3 linked regions of the Xenopus tropicalis genome follow. The protein of the gene in region 1 purifies or fractionates together with the protein of each later gene. This does not show direct contact. Links are inferred from orthologs where the notes say so. Each region holds a gene or a part of one and is shown in the gene's direction. Other genes may lie near its edges.

Region 1 (7,223 bases):
TATGTAACCCCTAAAGTTACTGTGGTTTCCCAGTAGCAAAAACTCATAGCAGCCAGTAAGATGTTTGCTTTTAAATTGGTGATCAGTAACTTCTACCCTGGAAGCTATGCATTACTGCTGTTGGGCAAACTTAATGCCTTTTACATTACATAACCCTTCAGAGTGCAATGAATGACTGGGTTATGTATTTTGTGTATTTGTAATTGCAGAGCTCACAGCCTCTCTAGTTAAAGGAGCTGCAAACCCAATAATAAACATTTGCCCAATAAAGGAATTTTGAATTCTTTGGAACTTTCCAATATACATTCTGTACAAAGTTCTAGTGGCTTTAAAATATTTTGTAATTATATCACCTATAAAAAGCAGTATCAATCTGTCCCTTTCTCTTCTCTGCTCTGGTTCTGACTAATGAAGGCATGTTGCAGAATCCAGCTAATTAACAGACCTGTAAAGAAGAAGCATGCGAGATTGGCTTCTTCTACATTCAGTCAAGAGACTGAAAACAGATGTACAAATACAGTGTTGCAGTCACATTGCCTTGTGTGCGCCTTTTAGTTGTCACAGGATAGAATCCATCTCTCTTTTTATTATCACAGCAACTTCACTCCAGCGTGAGGACTGGGAACCTGGAAACCTGCTTGCGGCTGCTATCTCTCGGGGCTCAGGCCAATTTCTTCCACCCGGTAATTACTGAACGCTTTTGCCTGCATTTGCTCTGCAGTTTAGCCTGGTGTATATTTCTCAAACTACCCTCTCAGATCCGGCCCCGTCTCTTTTAGAGCGAGAGTTATTGATTTTTACCTGACTGTTACTGTCTGCCTTGAAGCTCTGTAATCAAATATGGCGAGACTTCTAATATTAGCTGCAAGGGAGCTGATCTTTTAGAACAGCTTCTAGTAAATAACGTTCATTTTTTTACACCATTCAGCTTATTTGATCAGATAAATGCCCCCTATCCACCCTCTTTAATTTATAATTCTAAAAAAATACTTAGATTTCTCTTAGATCTGTTTTTTTAACAGTTGCCTCTGTTTTGGATAACCTATCAGCACTTCCACTTAAGGTAATGTCCCACGGAGTGAGTTAGTCACCAGCAATAGATCTTCGGGAAAGCCGAAGTGATACATATGTGATGCCTGTTGTTGCTGGGGGAAAGGCATTTCAGAGTGGTTAGTCACCTGGTAGCAGAGATCTATCGTGGGTGACTAACTTGCTCCTTGAGACATTAGCCTTAAACAGCGCCGGTTATCTCATCTGGGCGCCCCGAGGCTGCTCCCCTTGGAGAGGTCCCCATTGCTCCGTATGGGATCAAAATTTCAGTGCTGCAAATCTGTGTATTCTGGCAAATGCCACAGGTGCTGCTGTAAGATGCCATAGACTAGGGATCCCCAATGGTTTTACTTGGTAAGCAACACAAGCATTGAAAAAAAGTTTTTTGGGCATGCCAAATAATTTGATTGGCGATTTGGTAGCCCTATGTGGATTGCTAGTCTACAGGAGACTCTGCTTAGGATAAAATTATGCCTCTGTTCTTCTAAAACTTGCCACAGAAGAACAGGAACAGCACCTCTTGTCTTTGTAGATTAAAATGCCTTTATTGCAAAGTTTTCTGGGGCAAACAACAACAGCAGCAACGTTTCAGGTTACATAAGACCTTTTATCAAGCTTCTAAAACTTGCCTCCAAGCCACAAATGTAAAAATGGGCACCTACTTTGAGGCCACTGGGAGCAGCATCCAAGTGGTTGGTGAGCAACATGTTGCTAGTGAGCCACTGGTTGGGAATCACAGCTATTTCTTGGGCCTGTGGGGGGCTGTTTGAGTCTCTGTGTATTTTATATGTCAGGGCCTATTTTGACTCTCAGTCTGTTCTATGATGGTTATAACACACAGGGCTGTTTGATCACTGTGCTGCTGTCAGGTATGTCACAGGCCTATAGCCACAAAGGACTGTTGTTCATATTTTGCAAGAGGAGACTATAACTACAGTGTGTATTAAACCAAACTGTAATAGTTGTTTTATCAATATTATACTTCTATTTCATATTTATTCAAGCCAGGCCTTTTTACATTGATTACAGAATATTTATTAGTTAACAAGATACAGATTATATGGCTAATGCGCCGATGGGGCTGATTCTTGGTCTGTGACTGCCCCGGGTGTAGGCACATACTGAGGGGATTTCAGCACCGAAGTATGCATTTTGGCATTGAAATCCGCTGCATGTAGGGAAAGGCTTATGCCGGTGTAGGGGCTGATTCTTTGCTTGCGTTTATCTACAGGCCGAGATTCGCCATGGGGGCACGTTTACTAAGATTGGAGATAGCTATCACTGGTGATGTTACCCATAGCAACCAATCAGCAATTAGATTTGAACATTCACCTACAAGTTTAAAATCAAAAGCAAAGAGCTGACTGGTTGCCACGGTCAATATCACCGGTGGTATTGATCTCAAGTCTTAGTAAACATGCCCATAAGTGCTTTTTTTTTTTAATTCTACTGACAGCATCCACATTGTCCCATTTTACGGAACACAGAATCCGTCAGAGTTGTCCATTTACCACAGTGGCGTGTTTCTCCACATGCACTGACATTTAGGGGGACCTTCCTTCAGATAAATTGCATTTGTATTATGGTCCCCATGAATAAATTGAAATAGTATTGAAAATAGTTCTAACAACCATTCAAAGGTAGAACTATCTGTAACCCATCTTGTTACCGGTGCAATGCTGCAGATATTGCCTATCCCCATCCTATTCACAGTGCTCCATATTAAAGTGCTGCATAATTGGTGCTTAGAAGCGTATGAAATGGCAGAATTCACACCATAATGCAGATTGTTTATCTCTGGGAAATCAGAATAGCTAGTAGTCATGTTGTCACTGGCTGCGCGCCAGTATCTGTTGGAAGGGAGAGCAGCAGAGATAGGGGATTTGTAGAATGATGTTTATAAAACTAATAATAATAATAATACAGTTTGCTGAAAACCTCGAAGACCTTATAAGTGCAACTTGACTTTAGGGGCACCAGAACGTCTGCTGTTTATTGAGAGGTTTTCCTCTTTAACCCACAATGACTTGCTACTGCATTGAGGTTATTAGAAAAACTTGCAAGTGGAATAGCCTAGATACTGAATTGTTTTTATTGAGATAAAATGTTTGCTAGTAGAAACAAATTTCAAATGTCTCCTGTGACACAAATGATATCACTGAGCATCTGTGTTAATGGATAACCTCATCATGCATCATAAATAAGGATCTTTTTCATGACAAAAAAAGAAGGGAGCAAATGGGTAATTCTGGTAAATTAGAATTGCTACTTAGTCACCTCACCTTGATGTTAACATGACCTGTATTACCAGGCCTGCAGCTGTTTTACACTTGTGTTTGAAAACATACATTATTATAGTTTGTATGCAGAATTTTTGCTTTCTGGGATCCAGGGTTGCTTTCCTTTGCCCTTATTCATTCAGCTCTGTAAATAACCCGTGGGATTAGGTATCAGCCACCGAGATGTTTGTAACCCTGACTCTCTCCTTAGGACAAAGGAACCACCCCATTGCATGTTGCAGCCAAGGCTGGACAAATCCTTCAGGCAGAGCTGTTAGTGGTCTATGGAGCAGATCCTGGGGCACCGGATGTGAATGGCAGGACACCCATTGATTATGGCAGGTGAGGTGATTGGGTCAGAGTAGGGCTGGGCGATATACCGTTTAATACCGAATACCGGTGTTTTTTTTTTAAAACTATATTCATTTTTCAGATACCGCAATACCGGGGTGACAGGGTACTCACCCGTACGGCCCGGTCTCGCGCACCTCCTTGCGTGCACGCGCGTGTCCCGTTGTCCGCGGGACGTTGCGCACGCGCGCCCAGGTGCGCGTGCGTCAAATGGCACGTACATGTCAAAGTGTGCACGTCCGCGACGCGCTGAGGGCGCTGGTTCTGCGCATGCGTGGGGGGTATTTAAAGCTATCAAACGCCTCCTCCTGTGCTATGTTGTCTGCGGCCTTGCCTGGGAAACTAAGCCTGCCTGATTTACCTTACGACTTTCTGTTGCCGATCCTTCGCTTGCCTGACTCTGATTTTCAATACTGCAGTAATTATTCTCTAATTTATTAGTAAATGGGGTTAACACCTAATCATGCATGGAAAAAAAATTTACCGTCAAATACCGTGACACCGATATAATTTTGAAAAATACCGTGATATAAATTTTTGGTCATACCGCCCAGCTCTAGGTCAGAGCACCACTAATGGTGGGTAATATACAAATGGGGAAATGTAATAAAAAGCTTTCAGAATCACATTGCATTTCATTGTGTTATAACACTTTGTTAGAACAAGTTGCTAGGTTATTTACCATTTAAAGTCAGTGTTTGCCTGCAGCGGCAGATGAGAGCAGTATCAGTTCAGATATTTCTACATAGTACAGTAAGCTGTTATTCTGTTTTTCTGAGCCAAAATGATTGTTATCAATGAATACTTTATTGCCTTGACCCAAATCTTTGGCATAGGCAGCCTTCCACTGGTTTGTTACTTGGCCAATTGTTAATAATATATAACTATTATATAATATAACACAGGGAAAATTGTCACTGGCTAGTGACAGGAATCACTGGAAAATGTGCTACTCTGCATTTTAGAGGGATACACGCCTATGGCTAGACAGGACAAGGTCCAAATTATAGTATAGGTATGGGACCTGTTGCCCACAATGCTCAGGACCTTTGGTTTTCCAGATAAGGGTTTTTCTGTAATTTGGATCTCCATACCTTAAGGGCTCTGGCACACGGGGGAGATTAGTCGCCCGCGATAAAACTCCCTGTTCGCGGGCGACTAATCTCCCCGAGTTGCCTACCTCTGCCATCCCACCGGCGAACATGTAAGTCTCCGGCGGGATGGCAGACGCAGCGGGGCAATTTCATGGAATCGCCGAAAAAGACTCGCGAGTCTTTTTCGGCGATTTGCGCAAAATCGCGCCGCTGCGTCTGCCATCCCGCCGACATGTAAGTCGCCGGTGGGATGGCAGAGGTAGGCAACTCGGGGAGATTAGTCGCCCGCGAACAGGGAGTTTTATCGCGGGCGACTAATCTCCCCCGTGTGCCAGAGCCCTAAGTCTGCTAAAAAAAAAACTTTTAAACATTAACTTAACCCAGTAGGATTGTTTTGCTTTAAATGAGGGTTAATTATATCATCTTTAGAACCAAATGCAAAGTACTATTTTATTATTACAGAAAAAAATTAAATCATTTGTAAAAATTAGAATGATTTCCTTATGATGGAGTCTGTGGGAAATGCCCTTTCCGTAAGTCAGAGCTTACAGGTTTTTGGATAACTGATCCCATACCTGTATTTTGTTCTTTCCTGGGGCGATGAAACACTGCAGATCTCGTAGTGTACCATTATCCTTACTGAGGGTTGAATAAAAAAAAAAATATAATGTCAATGACTCCACCAGTGCAGATTTGTTTCCTAGAAATTATATTCCAGAGCACAGGGGCTAGCTGCTGCCTGTGTGTGGATCACCAATAAATTGGCCTCAGATACTACACAAGCAGTACTGTTAGGTGGCCGTGCCACATATGACAGTTTTCTTTTAATTATATATATATATATATAATATACAGGTATATACTCAGGGTAGGAATGACAGCACACACAGGACTTTTTTCATGAAGAATCACAAAGGTTTAGATGAATAAATGTGAGGCTTTGAATAAAGCCTCACATTTATTCATCTAAACCTTTGTGATTCTTCATGAAAAAAGTCCTGTGTGTGCTGTCATTCCTACCCTGAGTATTTACGTCTCCTGCACGAGCACCCAGGTATTATCTTGTTCTTATGGTGTGCAGCTTTCCAGCAACTCGTATATACAGGTATATATATACAAGTGTGGTCCAGACCTGCAATTGTACTGCAGCTCAGTTCTGTGCTAATGGTTGATTATCGGTATGGGTGCAGGGTAAGCACTACATAACCTACACACTAAGCAATTATGCCATGGGGTTGAAAGCGAATTCTTTGAAAAAGGGAAGCCTAGACTAATTTATGTAAAATGATTGTGTTCATTTGCCCAACACAGCTGTTGGAAGATATGTCTGCCCCTATTAATTGGTTAATATTTATGACATTGCTTCCAACAGGCAGGCTGGTCATCATGATCTGGCAGACCGATTGGTGGAGTGTCAGTATGAACTGACGGATAGGTTGGCCTTTTACCTTTGTGGACGCAAACCAGGTGGGTGCCGTGTTGTGTAAGTCACATGTCACAACTTTTTGTTCCTCTACATAAACAGGGAGACCAGTGCTTTGCACTTCTATTGCCTCCATCTTCCCTCAGTGTGACACCCTGTATCTGCCATCTTGGCTATATGAACCTTGGTGGTTGATGCTGTCAGTTCATGATTGTGCCCTCCCCAAGCTGATATTTGGGTGGCAAGTTTTTTGTGTTTAGCACAGGGGACATATTTTGTGCCTTAATTTTCCAAACGGTGGAGGAACATCGTGCCCTTCCTGTCATTTAGTTACTGCTACCTAAACTTCTGATTTTTGCTTCAAATCCTGTAAAGAGTAAGAGCTTTATTTTTTTAGTGATAAAAGAACAATATAGAAAAACTAAGCAAACAGCTCATTAAATGTAAAAACCTTCTTGCAGTATTTGGATGCCAATAGAAGCCTAGTGCCGAGCTAGCAGAACCGCAGCGATGAGCAGGTGGTGCCACGGATGAGCTCAGCACTCTTCCCAAGCAAGTGCTTAGTACTGGGGAATAGCAATGGCTGCACAATGTGTTCTACTATGCCTGGATACAGTCCTCATTTTACATCTGCTCTTATCCCAGCCAAAATGCCAACCTGTATAAGAAGTGTGGCTCTGCAAGTCTAGGGAGAGTCTGGCCATGACTTTTCTAAATGCACTGGCCATTCTCTGCCTTCACAGGTGTTTAATTACATGTCCCAGTTGCTGTCGATCAGTGGACATGGAGGCTGATTTACTGACATTTAAAATACAGTTTTTCAAATCACCCAATGTTGTCACTTATAAAAGATTAATTTTTCTGCAGTTTATTATTATTCACAATACATTTTCCCCATGTGAGTATGTATATACTGTTTCCCAAGTAAGCCTTTTCCATGGTCAGATTTTATAAGATAATGTATTTTGGCACTAAAAAATTTGAAATTGTAAGCTCTTTTGGGCAGGACCATCTTTACCTCTTGAA
Region 2 (7,718 bases), on another chromosome or scaffold:
AGTGACAACAACTTTTCCAAAAGTACAGTACATTGGTACATAACACAATAGTAGTCATTGTTTTCAAGCATAAGGTGACATTTCTTGTTTCTACGACAGTAACCTTGCACATTAAAAAATTCCAAGTGTGGATTTGGTAAACACAACACAAAACCGTAATTACCAGAGAAAGTCCCTGGTCCTTAATCACATGCACAGTAGCTGGGTGATCCAATCAGTCCTCACTGTCTGTTATCCTCTCCACTCCCTCATGGTTGGCTAACTAAATGGCTTAATCCATTGCTGTAAAGCTGTTGTTCGTACCCAGAGGTAAAGAAGCCCTTCCCTGTATGAGTCAAAGGACCAGCAACAAACTGTTCTTGGAGATGACTTTCTAACATAGTCACTCTGTGTTAACTGTGGGGTGCTTGCGCCTGGACTGGCAATCAGTAGATTCTGGAAAATGCCAGAGGGGCTGCTGTAAGATGCATTAGACAGTTGCTGTTTAAGCCTTTAGCACCTGGAATGCCAGGGCCTATTTTACAAACTGTAGAAAAAACAGCATGGTACTCACACGCTGAATTATACATAGACACTGTAAAACGGTGACAGAGATTCCAGCCTACAGCTTCCCAAGTGTTGCTGGACTACAAACCACAGAATACCGCCAATACGCAAACTTTATGTAATTACACACTCACATCAAGGCCCCAGACTAACAGAATTATCAGGGATCCTCTCTGCTCGAGCTCAAGCCTGCTTAGGACTCTGGAACACGGGGAGATTAGTCGCCCGCGACAAATCTCCCTGTTTGCGGACGACTAATCTCCCCGAATTGCCATCCCACCGGCGACAATGTAAGTCGCCGGTGGGATGGCACACGCTGCACAGGCGATTTTGGCAAATCACCGAAGTTGCCGCGCGAGGCATTTTTCGGCGATTTGACTAAATCGCGCCGCCGCGTGTGCCATCCCACCGGCAACTTACATTTTCGCCGATGGGATGGCAACTCGGGGAGACTAGTCGCCCGCGAACAGGGAGATTTGTCGCGGGCGACTAATCTCCCCGTGTGCCAGAGCCCTTAGTCACCCAATTAATAAAAACAACAATGAACTGCTGGCTAGGAAGGTGCAAGTGCCAATTGGTCCCTAGGCTTTCAGGGATGTCGACTAACCCTTGTTCATCAGGTGAAGAACAAGGGTTAGTTGAGACCTTATTTGGAGAGGCCAACAAACCGCGGGTCATAAGCCAAGAGTTTTTGAGACCTTTTTTCAGAGAGGTCAACACTCTTCTGCCATATATATATATATATTCTAGTGTTATGGACACGCCCCATTGTGCCCCCATCTCTGACTCATAAGGTCGCCAAGCGAGCAGATCTTCACCCGATATGCCCACCTATGGGTGGGCGATATAAGGGAGCGTGTCCAAGGGACCGATATCGGGAGCTACAATCGACCCGTGTATGGGGACCTTTACACAGATAAATTCAGGAGGGTTTGTAAGTTTTACAATTATTCCATTAAAATAAATGTTTTTAGAAACTATAGCATAAGAGAACTGGCTAAGGAGGCAAGTCACGTTTCTTGGGGGTCAGTCACTCTTTTTGGGACCCCACCACTCACAGCGAGTGCCCCCCTTCCCATGTCTAACCTAATTATGACCCCCCCATTATTGGAAGGGCCTAAAACCCACCTAAAATACATGTAGCTTTAGGGCCATGATAAATCTCCATTGTCACGGGCAACTAATCTCCCCGCAATGCCATTCCACTGGCTAGAATGTACATCACCGGTGGCGTGATTTGCCGAAGTCGCCAAAGCTTTCTCTTAAGGCAACTTCGGCAAATCACGGTGCCGCGTATGCCATCCAACCGGATTTACATTTACATTCTAGCCAGTGGGATAGCATTGCGGGGAAATTAGTCGCCCGCAACAACACAGATTTGTTGCAGGGCGACTAATCTCCGTGTGTCATGGCCCTTAGGATAAAAACATAGGAAGCTACTTAGTAGTAGCTATTGTCAGGGCTACTAAGCGCCAGAATATACCCTGCCATAGACAATACTAACAGCTGCATTTGCAAAAACACAGAGGCAATTATCAAGCATTGTCTATTTTTGTATTTTTCAGGGCCGCCGCTCCCTATAAGCAGAGTACTCAGTCTGCATAGGGCACCAACTCCCAGGGGGGCACCATCCCAGCTACTCCAAAAAAAAAAACATTTTTCTATATTATAACTTACTTACTATGGGGGCATTGTCTATGGGGGCAATTGGGGGCACTGTGTGTGGGGCCCCCATAGTAGGTGTTTTTTTTTATTTTATTTTTACTTCCGTAATATTTGGGAGAGGGGGCACAAAAGTAAATTTCTGCTTAGGGCACCCATTTGGCCAGCAGCGGCCCCGGTATTTTTGTTTCTTCCCCCTGAGGCAGGGGAAAGAGAGCGCTTTTGCTGGTCTGCCACATATGTTACAGAGAAAATAAAGGTAAAACTGACACATCTTTAATATTCATGTTAATACTTAAAAGAACCCTGGAACTACCCTTCCACCTCCCATAACTCTCCGCCGCCAGCCAGTTGCCCGACAGAAGAGCTAAGGGAGTGACGTCACTCAATGCGCGCTCCCGACTCCTGGGCGCGCCCCACTCGCTCCCGCGGGCTTTCGAGGCGAGGCCGGAAGTGACGCAGGCGGGGAAGCTTCCTGTTATCTCGCCGAAGAGTTGATTTTGTCGGGCGCTGGCTGCTCTAGGTTTTTCCTTCATAGACGCTGAAGGGAGAGCAAAGGAGAAGGAGTCGTGAGTGAGAGAGAGAGGGTGTGTTCTGAGCTACTGAAGCCCTTTCGCGGCCTAGCTTGCTTGGGCCATACGTACAGCCTTCATCTGTATCCGCTTTTGCGCCCGGGCTGCAGGGAGATCCGCTGCCAGCGCAGCCATGCAGGCCATTAAATGTGTGGTCGTGGGAGACGGGTAAGTGACGGGCTTCTATCGCTTATTTTTAATTCGAATGAATGGGGTTAGACGCTGAATCGCAGTGTGTCGCGTCTGGCCTGGGGCTCTGGGGATCTACGCGTTCTTCTGCGGTGGAATTTTCACCTTCCTCGGCTGGAACTGTGGCATGTCAGCCTCATAGCGGCCCAGCTGCTGGGGACTACAAGACCCGCAGAGGATGTCGGATACTGTAGTTCATAACAGCTGGTTGGACTCATTTCGTTCTTCATTGGGTTTCTTAGATAAATCTTTCTGCAGGTCTCTGATTACTAGATATTTATTTGGGGTTTCATTTTTACTGCTGCCCTCCAGCTGTTCCCTGGGTGCTGGGGGCACAATTGGCATAAGGGTCCATGTTTGTAATATATTGTAAATGTGTCAGCAAATTATAGTGCTAATATTATATAAAATGGATAACGTTTGGGCCAAGGTGCCTTCGTCCGCAGTGATGAGTCTTAAATCCTGTAGTGTAAAAAAAATAATAAAAATATATATATATATATATATTAGATGTCCGGTTACTAACTGATACTCATCAATATCCAGCAATCAACCCAGGAGCGAATGGAAAGATACGTCAGGAGGGACTATACAGTTATACGGCCACCCTCCCATTGTTACGATTGGAGCACCAGGAAGTAAAGCGCCGTTTCATCTCCCCTTCACTTCCTCATGTGCTGATGCGCTGTGCCCCCCAGTATATGTATACAGAATATAGAGCAAAACCCTCTCAGTTCATATGGGCTGCTTTACATTCTTGGATTTCAGTGCCCTAAGGCTATAGCTGCAGCATGGAACATGTTCTAGATTGATGCTTCCTGCTGCAAGGGAAGAAGAGTCCTCCTATGCCAGAGGCAGTGTGTGTTCTCCCAGTAATCACCGTTGCTAGAGCCTATTTCCCTTGAAAAATGGTAGGAAAAACACTGTTAGATGCATACGTATGATTATGGTCAATATTATAGACCAGATCGGCTCATGTTCCTCACTCCATGGTTAGATATATTGAAACTTCACTGGGTAATGTACTTTAAATCTTTCCTTTGCTATTTAAGCTGTTATATTTTCTACTTACTATGGTTTCTCTCTTTGTCCTGGGCTTTGATTTAATAGACTGTAAATTTGTCCATTCAAAATGTTATTGTATAGTTCCAGCATCAAGTGGACATGTATGTATAACTTTATTTATAAAGCGCCACAAGGGTACGCAGCGCTGTACAATCTCACAGAATACAAGGGAGGACAAGTGATATAATAAATAAATACAATTAATATATATATATATATATAAGTGCCATGAGACACAGTAGGAAGGAGGTCCCTGCCCCGTAGAGCTTACAATTTAAGTACACAGTAGGAAGGAGGTCCCTGCCCCGACATGTAAACAAGACATTCATTTAGACAATATTCCTTTCTAGTATATGAGGGTATTTTTAAATGTCTTCTCGTCAGTTTAAATGCAGGGTACATGTGCCACAAATGCCTCGGTCACATGAATTGTATTTGGCTGCATCCATAATGCCGCATTATGTGTTTCATAGGGTACCACTAGTGGCAGGCAGGCATGGGATGGTGCCCCCGAGAGCTAGGATAAATAAGGTTATTAGAACAATTGAAAATCAGGACCAGTAATAGGAAACCCAACTTGTGGGGCAGCACTGATGGCATTTCCTAGCACTTTAGTAACTTGCCAATCAGTTCAGCTCTGCTAGTTGGGTATTTTGTATGTTTCCTGATTTTTCAGATCATTTGATAATCTTAAGGTAAATTTTGTATGGTGTTTGTGCAGTGTAACTGTATTGCTGTCAAAAATATTATTTATGTGCCAGTCAATGGAGTGCTGATTGTTCTTACACAGAGGTTGTCCATCTCTTTAGGCAAACTTGGCTAAATTACTACATCTATATGCTAGAGCAGGGATCCCCAACCTTTTATACTAGTGAGCCACATTCAAATGGAAAAAGTGTTGGGGAGCAGCACAACCATGAAAAAAGGTTCCTGGTGGTGCAAATAAGAGCAATAATTGTCTATTTAATAGCCCCTATGTGGACTGGCAGCCTACAGAAGGCTCTGTTTGGCATTATACTTGGTTTTTATGCAACCAAAACTTGCCCCAAGCCAGAAATTCAGAAATGAGCACCAGCTTTGAGGCCACTGGGAGCAACATCCAAGGGGTTGGTGAGCAACATGTTGCTATGAGCCATTGGTTGGGGATCACTGTCCTAGAGTTTCTTTAGCATCATTCCCTTATACTTTTTGGGTGTTACCATGTTGTAGCTATGGTGCCCTCTGTCCTCACTGTTCCCCAGTTCAGTTATTGCTCTCCCAATCACAAATCTTCTTCATTTTCAGTAAACAGCAGCTTAACACCCAGTACCGATTTGCTTATGGCTGCATTGTGTATATTCTCTTTCCTCATTAAGACTATCAATCAGACAATTATTTTTTCCTGTGGACATGGCGACTTGTTCAGCATATTATTAGGCAACTTGGTGGCCAAGCTTAACTTGTGTATCATTTTGTCTAAAAGACGCACAAGAAAAAGGCACACAAAATAGAAAAACAATTGTTTTTTTGTTCGTACAGAGACTAAATGTTTCAGGGTGCCCCAACCCCTCCATCAGTAGTACAGCTCTTATCATTTTCTGTGCTATGTCTTACATGCTAACAGGCTGCAGCTGTATTAAATAGAAAAGATTTTTACCGTCACTCACTGGTGTGACTAATGTTAAAGTCCATTGCTTTCATTTTACTGGGAAAGTCCCCCTATGAGACCCAGTGTGTGTTGCAATGTTTAATTGTGTCACATTCACCTAACACCTTTAATGATTGCTGTTTTACACTGACTCTTTAAAAAGGTACACTGAAGGGCAGCATTCACTCATTGATTACCACCGCGCCACAAAGAATTATTCAGGATTATAAGAATGACTCCATCTTCAAATCCTGCCAAGCTTATTGCATGGGCAGCATCACTCAGCACTTTGTATGTTCCACTTGGCACCATAGCGCTGCTGTAGGGTCACCATTCCATGTATTGAATTGAAGGTGGCAGAGTGTTAGAAAGCAAGCGTGTGAAGCACTATGTAATGCTTGGCTAATCACAGTATGGTCTTGTTCATACTTGCATTTAAATGTGCACTATCAGTGATGTGAGTGTTAAAAAAAAAAAAAAAAAAAATCGGATACAAGTGTCCGTTTGGCTTCTTTACGTTTGCTCTGCTCCCCTGTGATTTTTATATGTGAGCGATTGGAATGTCTATCGCGTATATAATGCAAGTATGCACAAGTCTAAGGCAGCCCTGATAAGAATTTGCTTTTTGCAATCCTGATATGTGGCTGTAAGTAGTGCAGCACGTTACTGTAGAAGCTGTCCCATGTTAAATGCTCGCAGACAAATTCATTTGTTGAAAGGGACAGCATCCCTTTAATAACGTACAGGCATGGACATACAGGCTTTTGGATGACCAAAATACCTTGTCTTTTACCATACACTGTACTTGCAGTAGGTAAAAGTAGGAATGTTTAACATGACTTAACTAAACTGTACCCTTGTAGCACACAGGAACACAGCATAAAAAAAAAAAAAGTTTGTGAGACCCAAAGGGAGGTATGAAACCTTTAGCTGGAGACAAATATACCTGTTGTAGCTTTATGACCGATGGATATCCGAGGGGTTGCTGCCCATACAAGTAACAATCATTGTAAAAAAAATAATATCCTACATATTTGTATTAGAGGGTTCTGTATGATTATGCATATCTAGATTTCAATATATATGTCAGTCTTATTTATTTTACCTTATTGTGATTAGTGCAGTGGAGGCTAGGCAGGTAAATGAGAGAATGTTGTGGGTTGTGCTCGATTTCTCTGCCTGCATTCTGGCTGATTTGTTGCAGTTGGAGACATAGATGTGCTTGGAACTAGTAAGGCCTTTGCAGGAAGTAATATATCTGTGCGGTGGGAAGTCCTGTTTTCCCTTAGTCTATTTATGCTCTTTGCAGATCCCATAATGGAATTCACTCTGGAGCTGATTTGTGCAATAAGGATATTGTGTGACATATATATATATATATATATATATATATATATGTATATAAATATATTTTCTAAGTAAACCATTTTGTTCCACTGCTTCAACTTATCTCTGTGCATGTTTAAAATGATAGCATACTAATATATTATCTATGTTATGATAAGGATTAATGACTATTCCTTAACCCACTAAAAGCTCATTTTCCTTTCTACACTGGTAGATCATTACAAGATTTTTTTTTTTTTTTAGGAATCGGCCTTAGCTCAGCAGTTTTCCTCCTGTTAAATCTTCTTATTCTCAATTGCCCAGAGTATATATGCCATGCTGCAACCATTGCAGAATGCCAGAGCTTTGCTATTCACTGCTGCAGAGTTGCACCTGGATAGTGCTGCAGCAGTTTAAATGGCACTGTAGTTTTATGGTGACATATAGTTCTTTAGGCCATGTCATTTGCCTTGACGTCAGTTAAAACTCACCCTGCTTGGGCAACTAGATAAATCTATGTGATATGTATGAGTATGAATTCAACTTTGTACTTATACCTTGTACTTCTTTACCTCCTATATTATCTGAGTTTAAAGGAGTAATGTAACCAGTTTTTTTTCCAACAATCGAGTTTGACATTTTAAAAACTGAATAGAGTATAGTTATATCATTTATGTTATTACATATTAAAGTTATGTAGGGGTGGGGGCAGAATTAGCTTCCTGGAGAGT
Region 3 (7,874 bases), on another chromosome or scaffold:
GAAGACCAATTGAAAAGTTGCTAAGAAAAGGCAATTCTACAGTATAATAAAAGTTAACCTGAAGGTCAACCACCCCTTTATTAAGGTTACCAGATTCAAGAAAAATCCAGTGATACCAAATAGGAGTCTCACAAAAAATATGAAGTGAAAACAAAAAGATCACACTCAATATTGGGTCCACCCAATGGAACATTTCCTAAAAATAGAAATATCAGTGCATAACTGAAAGGCAGTCCTGTGCAAGTTTGGTATTTCTGTTTTATAATGTATTTTTTAAAAATATATTTGTTGGTTCAGGAATAAAATTTGAAAAGGTAGAGTGAATTATTAGCTACGTAAACAGTGTACCGTATTTTCCTGTGTATAAGACGACTGGGCGTATAAGACGACCCCCGACTTTGGCACGGATTTTTCGGGGATAAAAAGTCGTCTTATACAGTCTTAAAATACAGTAGTTCAGCTATAAATGAGCAAATTATATAAATGAATCAGGCTGGAAAATGTAATAAATTTTAACTGGTAAAACCTTGATCATGTGGAATTTTGTATTTCCCTTTAATGAATAGGCCTCCTAGTTCTTTTAGTAAGGTATAGACTATTTATATATTCTATTTATATAGTTATACTAGTTATATAATTATATTCTGTCTTAGTCTTAATTCTTTGTGTTTTTTTCTTTTTACATTTGTTGCGGTCAATGAAGGCTATTTGGTTGCTAGAGTTGAATTACCATAGCAACCAAGCAGCCAGTAGAAAGTTCGAATGAAAGAGAAACATTGTATAGTCTGAACAGAAAAATTAAGCAATAAAGTTATAATTACCTAAAAATGGTGATGTGGTAAGAATTTATTACAAGCCCTTAGTGATATACAACGTTAGTCACTCTTGCTTTAGCTGACTAGCTGGGAGTTGCAGTTTAATGATGACCGGAGGGCCGCGGCTTGGCCAACCCTGCCCTGGTTTCTTTTCATACACTGAAGCTTCCCATGCTTTCCGGGTCAGGTTCCTGCTGAGTCCGTGGCTGAGGCACGGTATCAGTTTCGTGCAGTCGCGCCGCCATGCCCAGCTGCTGTGTGGCCGTCCCCTCCCCCGGTACTAGCCGCTGTGCATGCCGGGCCCTGCTCATGCCGTCGGTGCTCGGGGCTCTGCCCGCCCGGGAGATGCAGCTGCTGCTGGAGAAGTGACCTCAGGTAAATAGGCTTCCTCCTGATGGCGGCCCTGCCATATCCGACGTATAAGACGACCTCCGACTTTGGTGCGGATTTTTCGGGTTTAAAAAGTCGTCTTATACGCCGGAAAATACGGTAATTTAGAAATAAAATATACACCATAAAAATCATGACAAAATCCCTTTAAAGGAACAGTAACACCAAAAAATTTAAGTGTTCTAAAGTACCGTATATACTCGAGTATAAGCCGATCCGAATATAAGCCGAGGTATCTAATTTTACCTAAGAAAACTGGAAAACTGTATGGACTCGAGTATAAGCCTAGGGTGGGCTTACATAATATTACAATTACATGATGCTGAGAAGTGCATGATGCCCATGACTAGACAGGCCCAAAAATCTCTTTGGAGTGAAGCATCTTGCACTTGAGCCTCCTGGTGCACAGCCCTGATAGTGGATCTACCTACCAAATCTTGCACCCAAGGGGTTCAGCTTATGTACTAAGAGAGTGCATCAGGGTAGACTTACAGTTTGTGCAGGTTCACAGGGGCCTTGTGCAGCCATGAAAAAGCCAGGTTTGCCTGGTGTGCCAAAGGACTGGGGTGCAATACATTGCAGGCTGAGTCGCTCTTTGGCTGGGAGCAGCCACTTTCAAGTTAAGGCACAGTTTGGACAGCTCTTTCTCAGTCCGGGTCCTGAGTTCTATGCAACCAGTATTAGAAGGTGGTTGGTTGCTTAGCAACCAACCACCACCACAGACAACGCAATGGGCTGCTTGTGCTGCAGCTTAGCCCAGGAGTAGCGGCGGGTGTTTACTGTAGGCTGGGAGCGGGGATGGTTGAAGCTGCTGGGGACCGAGGCACACGCTCCTCTTGGTCACTGTGTCCGGATTGTAGAGATTGTCCAGATGAGGGATCGTAGCGGTACAGCGCGCACAGCGAGGGGTGGGGCGTCTGAGCGGTACTTGCGTGCACTTGCGTGCATCCAGAAGGGGGGGTCGGCGGCGGGGGTACGAACGAGCGGCAGCTGGAATCCTCAGACAGAGCGGATTCTCGCACGGAATCTGCCATAGGAGCGCACGTCAAAGAGAGGTTTTAGTGGTACAGCGCGCACAGCAATGAGGTGGTTTGAGCGAGGAGGGGTTGGTGGCGGGGGTGCGCGTGGACATCCACGGGATATACATGTTATCCATATACGCGAGTATAAGCCGAGGGTGACTTTTTGAGCACATTTTTGGTGCTCAAAAACTCGGCTTATACTCGAGTATATACGGTAATTGAAATATAATGTACTGTTGCCCTGCAATGGTAAAACTGGGGTGTTTGCTTCAGGAAGACTACTATAGTTTATATAAATACGCTGCTGTGTAGCCATGGGGGCAGCCATTCAAGCAGGGAAAAAGGAGAAAAGGCACCTTTGTATTCTACAGGGTTAATCTGTTAGCTGCTATATAACCTGTGACTTTTCTTCTTTTGAATGGCTGCCCCCATGTCTACACAGCAGGGTTTATATAAACTCTAGAAATGTTTCTGAAGCAAACACACAACTTTTACCAGTGCAGGGCAGCAGTATATTATAGTTTAATTTCTTTAAAATATATACATTTTTTGGTGTTACTCTTCCTTTAACACATTATGTATGTCACCTGGAACAGCTCTGCAAATCAATGGTTATTTGGATATAGGTTCCCCCTGGCTAGCCTAGCCCCAGCAGGTCACTTCAACAGTCTCCAAGCAGCAGAATTATAAAAAAAAATGTTGTTTTATATATTTTATTGGGTTTTTCAAAATAATGCAGGTTAGGGGACACTAACCGTGAAATTGCTGATTGGTTGCCCTGGGCAACATCGCTGTAATGCTTCACTCCACTTTTTACACAGCATGATAAATATACCCCTATATTTATCATGCTCAGGGCCACCAATCAGGCTGGATGCCTGGCCTAATGTATTTTATTTAAATATCCACATTTCTATATTCTACTAGATATATTTTATTTTCAGTTTATTCATTCAATAAAATGCTCTGTACTGTATATACACAACATGTATGAGGCTAACTATATCCAGTATCAAAGAACATGCATTTTAATTTCAGCCTCTTATCCTGTGCTGATCTGTTCTGCACTGGCTCAGAAAACAGAGCACTTATCCTACATAATTTATGAGACCGGTTTTCTGGAACATCAGGACATCCAGAATAACTTTGAAACCCTAGAGCAAGCACAATGAGAATAAGAGATGCAAGCAAAAAATACTACTTTAGGATCCCCAGAACGCAAAGCATAAGAGCACATTCTATTACATGCAGCTTCCTGCTTGTTACTGAAGGCAGTTGGTAAAGCTGTTGAAAAGTAAGCTCAGCCCGCACATATAGGAAGAGCAGAGCAGATGCAATCACGGATGTGGCTGCAGAACAGCTTTGTTACATTGCACCCTGCACTGTACGAAGCCAATTTACACAGCCATGAACCCTGAGGAACAGACCGTCACTTGGCTGATCTCACTGGGGGTGTTAAGTTCTCCCAAGAAAAACATATGCAATCCTGCTGACTTCTTGAAATGTTCACTGAAGGATGGGGTGGTGCTCTGCAAACTGATGAACCGCCTCCTCCCAGGCTTTGTATCTAAGGTAAGCCATTTCCCACTTTCTCCGTTTCGCCTAAATAGGCGCACAATATGAGTATACGAAAAATCCTGATTTTTAGGTATGATTTGTGCACAATCTTTTTTCAAACACAATTCTGGGAATAAAGGAACATAACTGCCTGGGCCTAAGTAAATAGAAATTCATACAGAGTCTATAGCAGGGGTCCCCAACCTTTTTTACCTGTGAGTCACATTCAAATGTAAAAAGAGTAGGGGAGCAACACAAACAAGTTCCTTGGGGTGCCACATATATGCTGTGATTGACTATTTGGTAGTCCCTATGTGGACTGGCAGCCTACGGAAGGCTCTGTTTGGCAGTACACCTGTTTTATGCAACCAAAACATGCCCAAAATCCAGGAATTCAAAACACCCAAGCGGTTGGGGAGCTCATGTTGCTCATGAGCCACTCACTGAGGATTACTGGGCTATAGTCTATAGGTGTCCTCTGAATACTTCATTTTCCTCCCACACTCCAATAACATACAGCCAGGAAAACTGGCTCCCAATACAACTGACCCTCCTGTGTGTGATTGTGATAGGGCCCTTAGACTGTAAGCTCCACTGGGACAGACACTGATGTGGATGATGCATAATCTCTGCAAAATGTGTCAGCGCTATATAAATTCCAGGAAACAGTTGAAAGTAAAGGCCACTTTTAAGGTAAAATCAGTGTGTTAGGTTAGCTCCTTAAGTATATAATACCCCAGTGCTTAAATGTTTTATATCCTCCCATGGTTATGTTGCAGCAGGACACTTGAAATATTTGTATGTTTTGTAGTCTTTTTTGCATAGCAATACACTAACCTGGAGTTAACATTCTGGCGTTTGGCACTGCTCTGAAAGATGGCAGAGGCTTGTGGATATTGTAGTTTATGAAAGAGGAAGCACTGATACACTGATGCATGTTGTTTAATAACTGGTCCACTTTAGTTCCTCTTATGCTTTTGTAGCGAGAACTCTGTTGGCCATGTAAGGATGAACTCTGTTTTGTCACTTCCCCTTAATGCGTGCTCAGCTCAGTCTGACTACTGCTTGATGCACGTCACATCTAAACATCTAGTAAGTTAGCTATATTATTTTTCCTCTTATATTCATTTGAACAATATGTTTCCCTTTTTAACGCAAACAGCTTCTAATGTACCCACTAACTTTGCTCTAAGTACCCCAGGGTATTTTTAAAAACAATTATATAAGGTTGTCTGAATGTTTCCTGTGCCTGGTAGAGAATGCTAGGAGCAGTTCTAAAGCAGAAGACAGCAGAGCAGCAGAAGAGCTATACGTTTGCTGAATACAATAATTATTTTGCACATTTATGGAAAAGGTATGTTAGTTATACAGTCTTATAAATACTGTATGTAGTGATTCACTGCACATCTTATTGTATTGTTACAAGGCATTACTGCTTGATTCCACTCTTCCATTCAGCTTTAACTTCATTGAATTTAAAATTGTGTAACAACCTCATTTGCTCTTTGGAAAATATGATATATGCAACTGGAAGCACAATACACAGCTGAAAACACTCTGTCAGAAAGGATGATGGGCAGAAAATTCATTTAAAGCAAGATTCCAAGCATGAAAATCATGCAGTACAAAACATGCATTGTAACTCTTGATTGCTGAGGATAAGTGGGGTTTATCATTCTCACGATCATCTGAGATGTACTACATCAATCATGTTTGCATTCGGACAAAATCCAATTTTCAACTATAATTTGTATATTTAAATCTGAATAAAAGTAGCATCACCTAAACATAAATACTTTTAGTGCTTTAAAACATCAAATTCATCTCAGCCAAACTATAAGGCAGTGGTGTCTGGACTCTTACGGAATATGCAAAGCTCCCCTTTGAAGGACAGAATTTGGTTAGGATGCCTCTAAGTTCCAAGAACCAAGTAAACCATTCAGTCTTTGTTCTCCAGTGTAAAATTTAAGAAAGCAAATAAGCATTCTGGACAAATCTTACAATATCTGGCTTACCCTAAAGCTGTGCCCCCAGCCACTACCAATCCACACTCACTAGCACACCCTGGCCTTTCCACTCTGTTCCGCCTGGTGCACAGTATTTAGAGTGAGACTTCAGCACTCTCCACCACGTTCCAAATAGCACAAAAATACCGGCACAACAGGACTTGTTTAAGCGGAATAAACCCCCAGCCACTGCTCCAGGACCCTAAGAGGGCCACCCAGTGGCGTAGCGAGGGGGGTGCCGAGGGGGCCATGGCCCCGGGCGGCGTATCAGAAGGGGCGGCGGCGGCTCCTTCTCTCTTACGCTTTTATAAGGTTGCGCCCGTGCGTATGACGTCACACGTCAGCGACGAGGCGCAACCTTATAGAAGCGCCTGTTGCCTGTAAGAGAGAAGGAGCCGCCGCCAATGGTCTGTTGGGGGTATGTACTATGGGGGAAATTGGGGGCACTGTGTGGGGGCTACTGTCTATGGGGAAATTGGGGCACTTTCCATGGGGGGGGCCAGGTCTTTGTGGGGTATTGTGTATGGGGGCACTTCCTATTGGGGGCACTGTGTATGGGGCAATTGGGGCTTTGTGTATGAGGGCACTTTCTATTGGGGGGCAAGGTCTTTGGGGGGTATTGTCTATGGGGACACTGTGTATGGGGCAATTGGGGCACTGTGTATGGGGGCACTTCCTATTGGGGGCACTTTGTATGGGGCAATTGGGGGCACTGTTTATGGGGGCACTGTGTATGGGGGAACTTTCTATTGGGGGAACTGTGAATGGGGCAATTGGGGCACTGTGTATGGGGGCACTTCCTATTGGGGGCACTGTCTAAGGGCAATTGGGGGCACTGTGTGGAGGGGGCTGTCTATGGGGACACTGTGTATGGGGCAATTGGAGGCACTGTCTATGGGGAAATTGGGGCACTTTCTATGGGCAATTGGAGGCAATGTGTGTGGGGGGCACTGTGTATGGGGCAATTGGGGGCACTGTGTATGGGGGTACTGTCTATGGGGCAGTTGTATGGGGGGACCGTGGCCAGAATAGCGTTAGGGGGGCCTGGCCAGCATAGTGTTAGGGGGCCACTGTGGTAGGGTGACCCTAATACTTTTTATGTCTGTGTGTCCTGTACTGATGGGAGGGGCCCTGTGATTTCTGATGGCGGCCCTGCCACCATGGGCAGCCACGGACGCACAGCTGAATCCACTTTTGACAATTATGACATGCGCACCGCATTTCAAATTCAATCAAAAAAAAAAAAAAATTTAATGCTGCTTTTTTTATTTTGTCTATTTTTTTTAAGAATAACTAAATAGAGGGGCGGCAAATTTCCGGTCGGCCCCAGGCGACGAAAGCCCACGCTACGCCACTGGGGCCACCCCCACCCCAACTGAATGCTGAACAATTGAACTTAGGCAAAGACCATTGGGAAATCTCACGTTTCAGCATTTTCATGTGATACCTATTCAACTCAATAGAAGACAATTTCAGCCAGGTGCATAGTCCCTTGTAGTTATCATGAACCTTAAATATTTTTTCATTTAAAAATGCTAAATATCTTCATAAATAAAATTTGTTTGTATTTTTGCATTTATATGTATATTAATGAATAACAGTCATTATCATCATAATCAGCAACTTTTTGTTGTCCTATTTTTCTTTTTTTAATGGCTTTCATCCTTAGTGTGTTTCTTCTAGACCTGAATTTTAAACTTAAAAGCAATTCATTTCTTTACACATTTGTTTGTTATTATGAATATAGGTTCTGTATAAAAAATGCATACTATTAATTTGAATACACATGCTCAGATTTTCTTTGGCAGATTGAACAGGCCTGCCCAACCATCAGACCACAGTTGGTCTGTCCAAAATAAAATGTTCATCTGCCTCAGCATGAGAACTGGCAAATGCAGAAGTAAGATAAGCTGCACGCAACAATAGGCCCTGGTATGCTTAGTCTTCCTGTGACAACCATATAATGATAACCCATATTGCTTCAGAGTTGGCTTTATACAAAAGCATAAGCATTTACTGAGACATCGTGAAAGAACTTTAGCTGCAAACTCACAAGCCTCTCTCCGCTGTTCTGCCTGTTCTAC

Evidence for each region.
Region 2: the proteins of git1 (region 1) and rac1 purify together in Homo sapiens (affinity purification with mass spectrometry; 3 studies listed by BioGRID). This does not show direct contact. The link is inferred for Xenopus tropicalis from reciprocal best matches to the Homo sapiens genes GIT1 and RAC1.
Region 3: the proteins of git1 (region 1) and arhgef6 purify together in Homo sapiens (affinity purification with mass spectrometry; 3 studies listed by BioGRID and IntAct, counting the BioPlex papers as one, with this or other methods). This does not show direct contact. The link is inferred for Xenopus tropicalis from reciprocal best matches to the Homo sapiens genes GIT1 and ARHGEF6.

What each region holds. Positions count from the first base shown.
Region 1 is NC_030678.2:32,782,998-32,790,220, forward strand, and holds part of git1 (ARF GTPase-activating protein GIT1), read left to right. Parts: intron 1-596; coding exon 597-683; intron 684-3,540; coding exon 3,541-3,671; intron 3,672-6,146; coding exon 6,147-6,241; intron 6,242-7,223. UniProt on the Homo sapiens protein: GTPase-activating protein for ADP ribosylation factor family members, including ARF1.
Region 2 is NC_030685.2:25,455,798-25,463,515, forward strand, and holds the start of rac1 (ras-related C3 botulinum toxin substrate 1), read left to right. Parts: upstream 1-2,745; 5' UTR 2,746-2,913; coding exon 2,914-2,948; intron 2,949-7,718. UniProt on the Homo sapiens protein: Plasma membrane-associated small GTPase which cycles between active GTP-bound and inactive GDP-bound states.
Region 3 is NC_030684.2:69,206,103-69,213,976, reverse strand, and holds the start of arhgef6 (rho guanine nucleotide exchange factor 6), read left to right. Parts: upstream 1-3,604; 5' UTR 3,605-3,634; coding exon 3,635-3,799; intron 3,800-4,843; exon of another isoform or gene 4,844-4,852; coding exon of another isoform or gene 4,853-4,876; intron 4,877-7,874. UniProt on the Homo sapiens protein: Acts as a RAC1 guanine nucleotide exchange factor (GEF).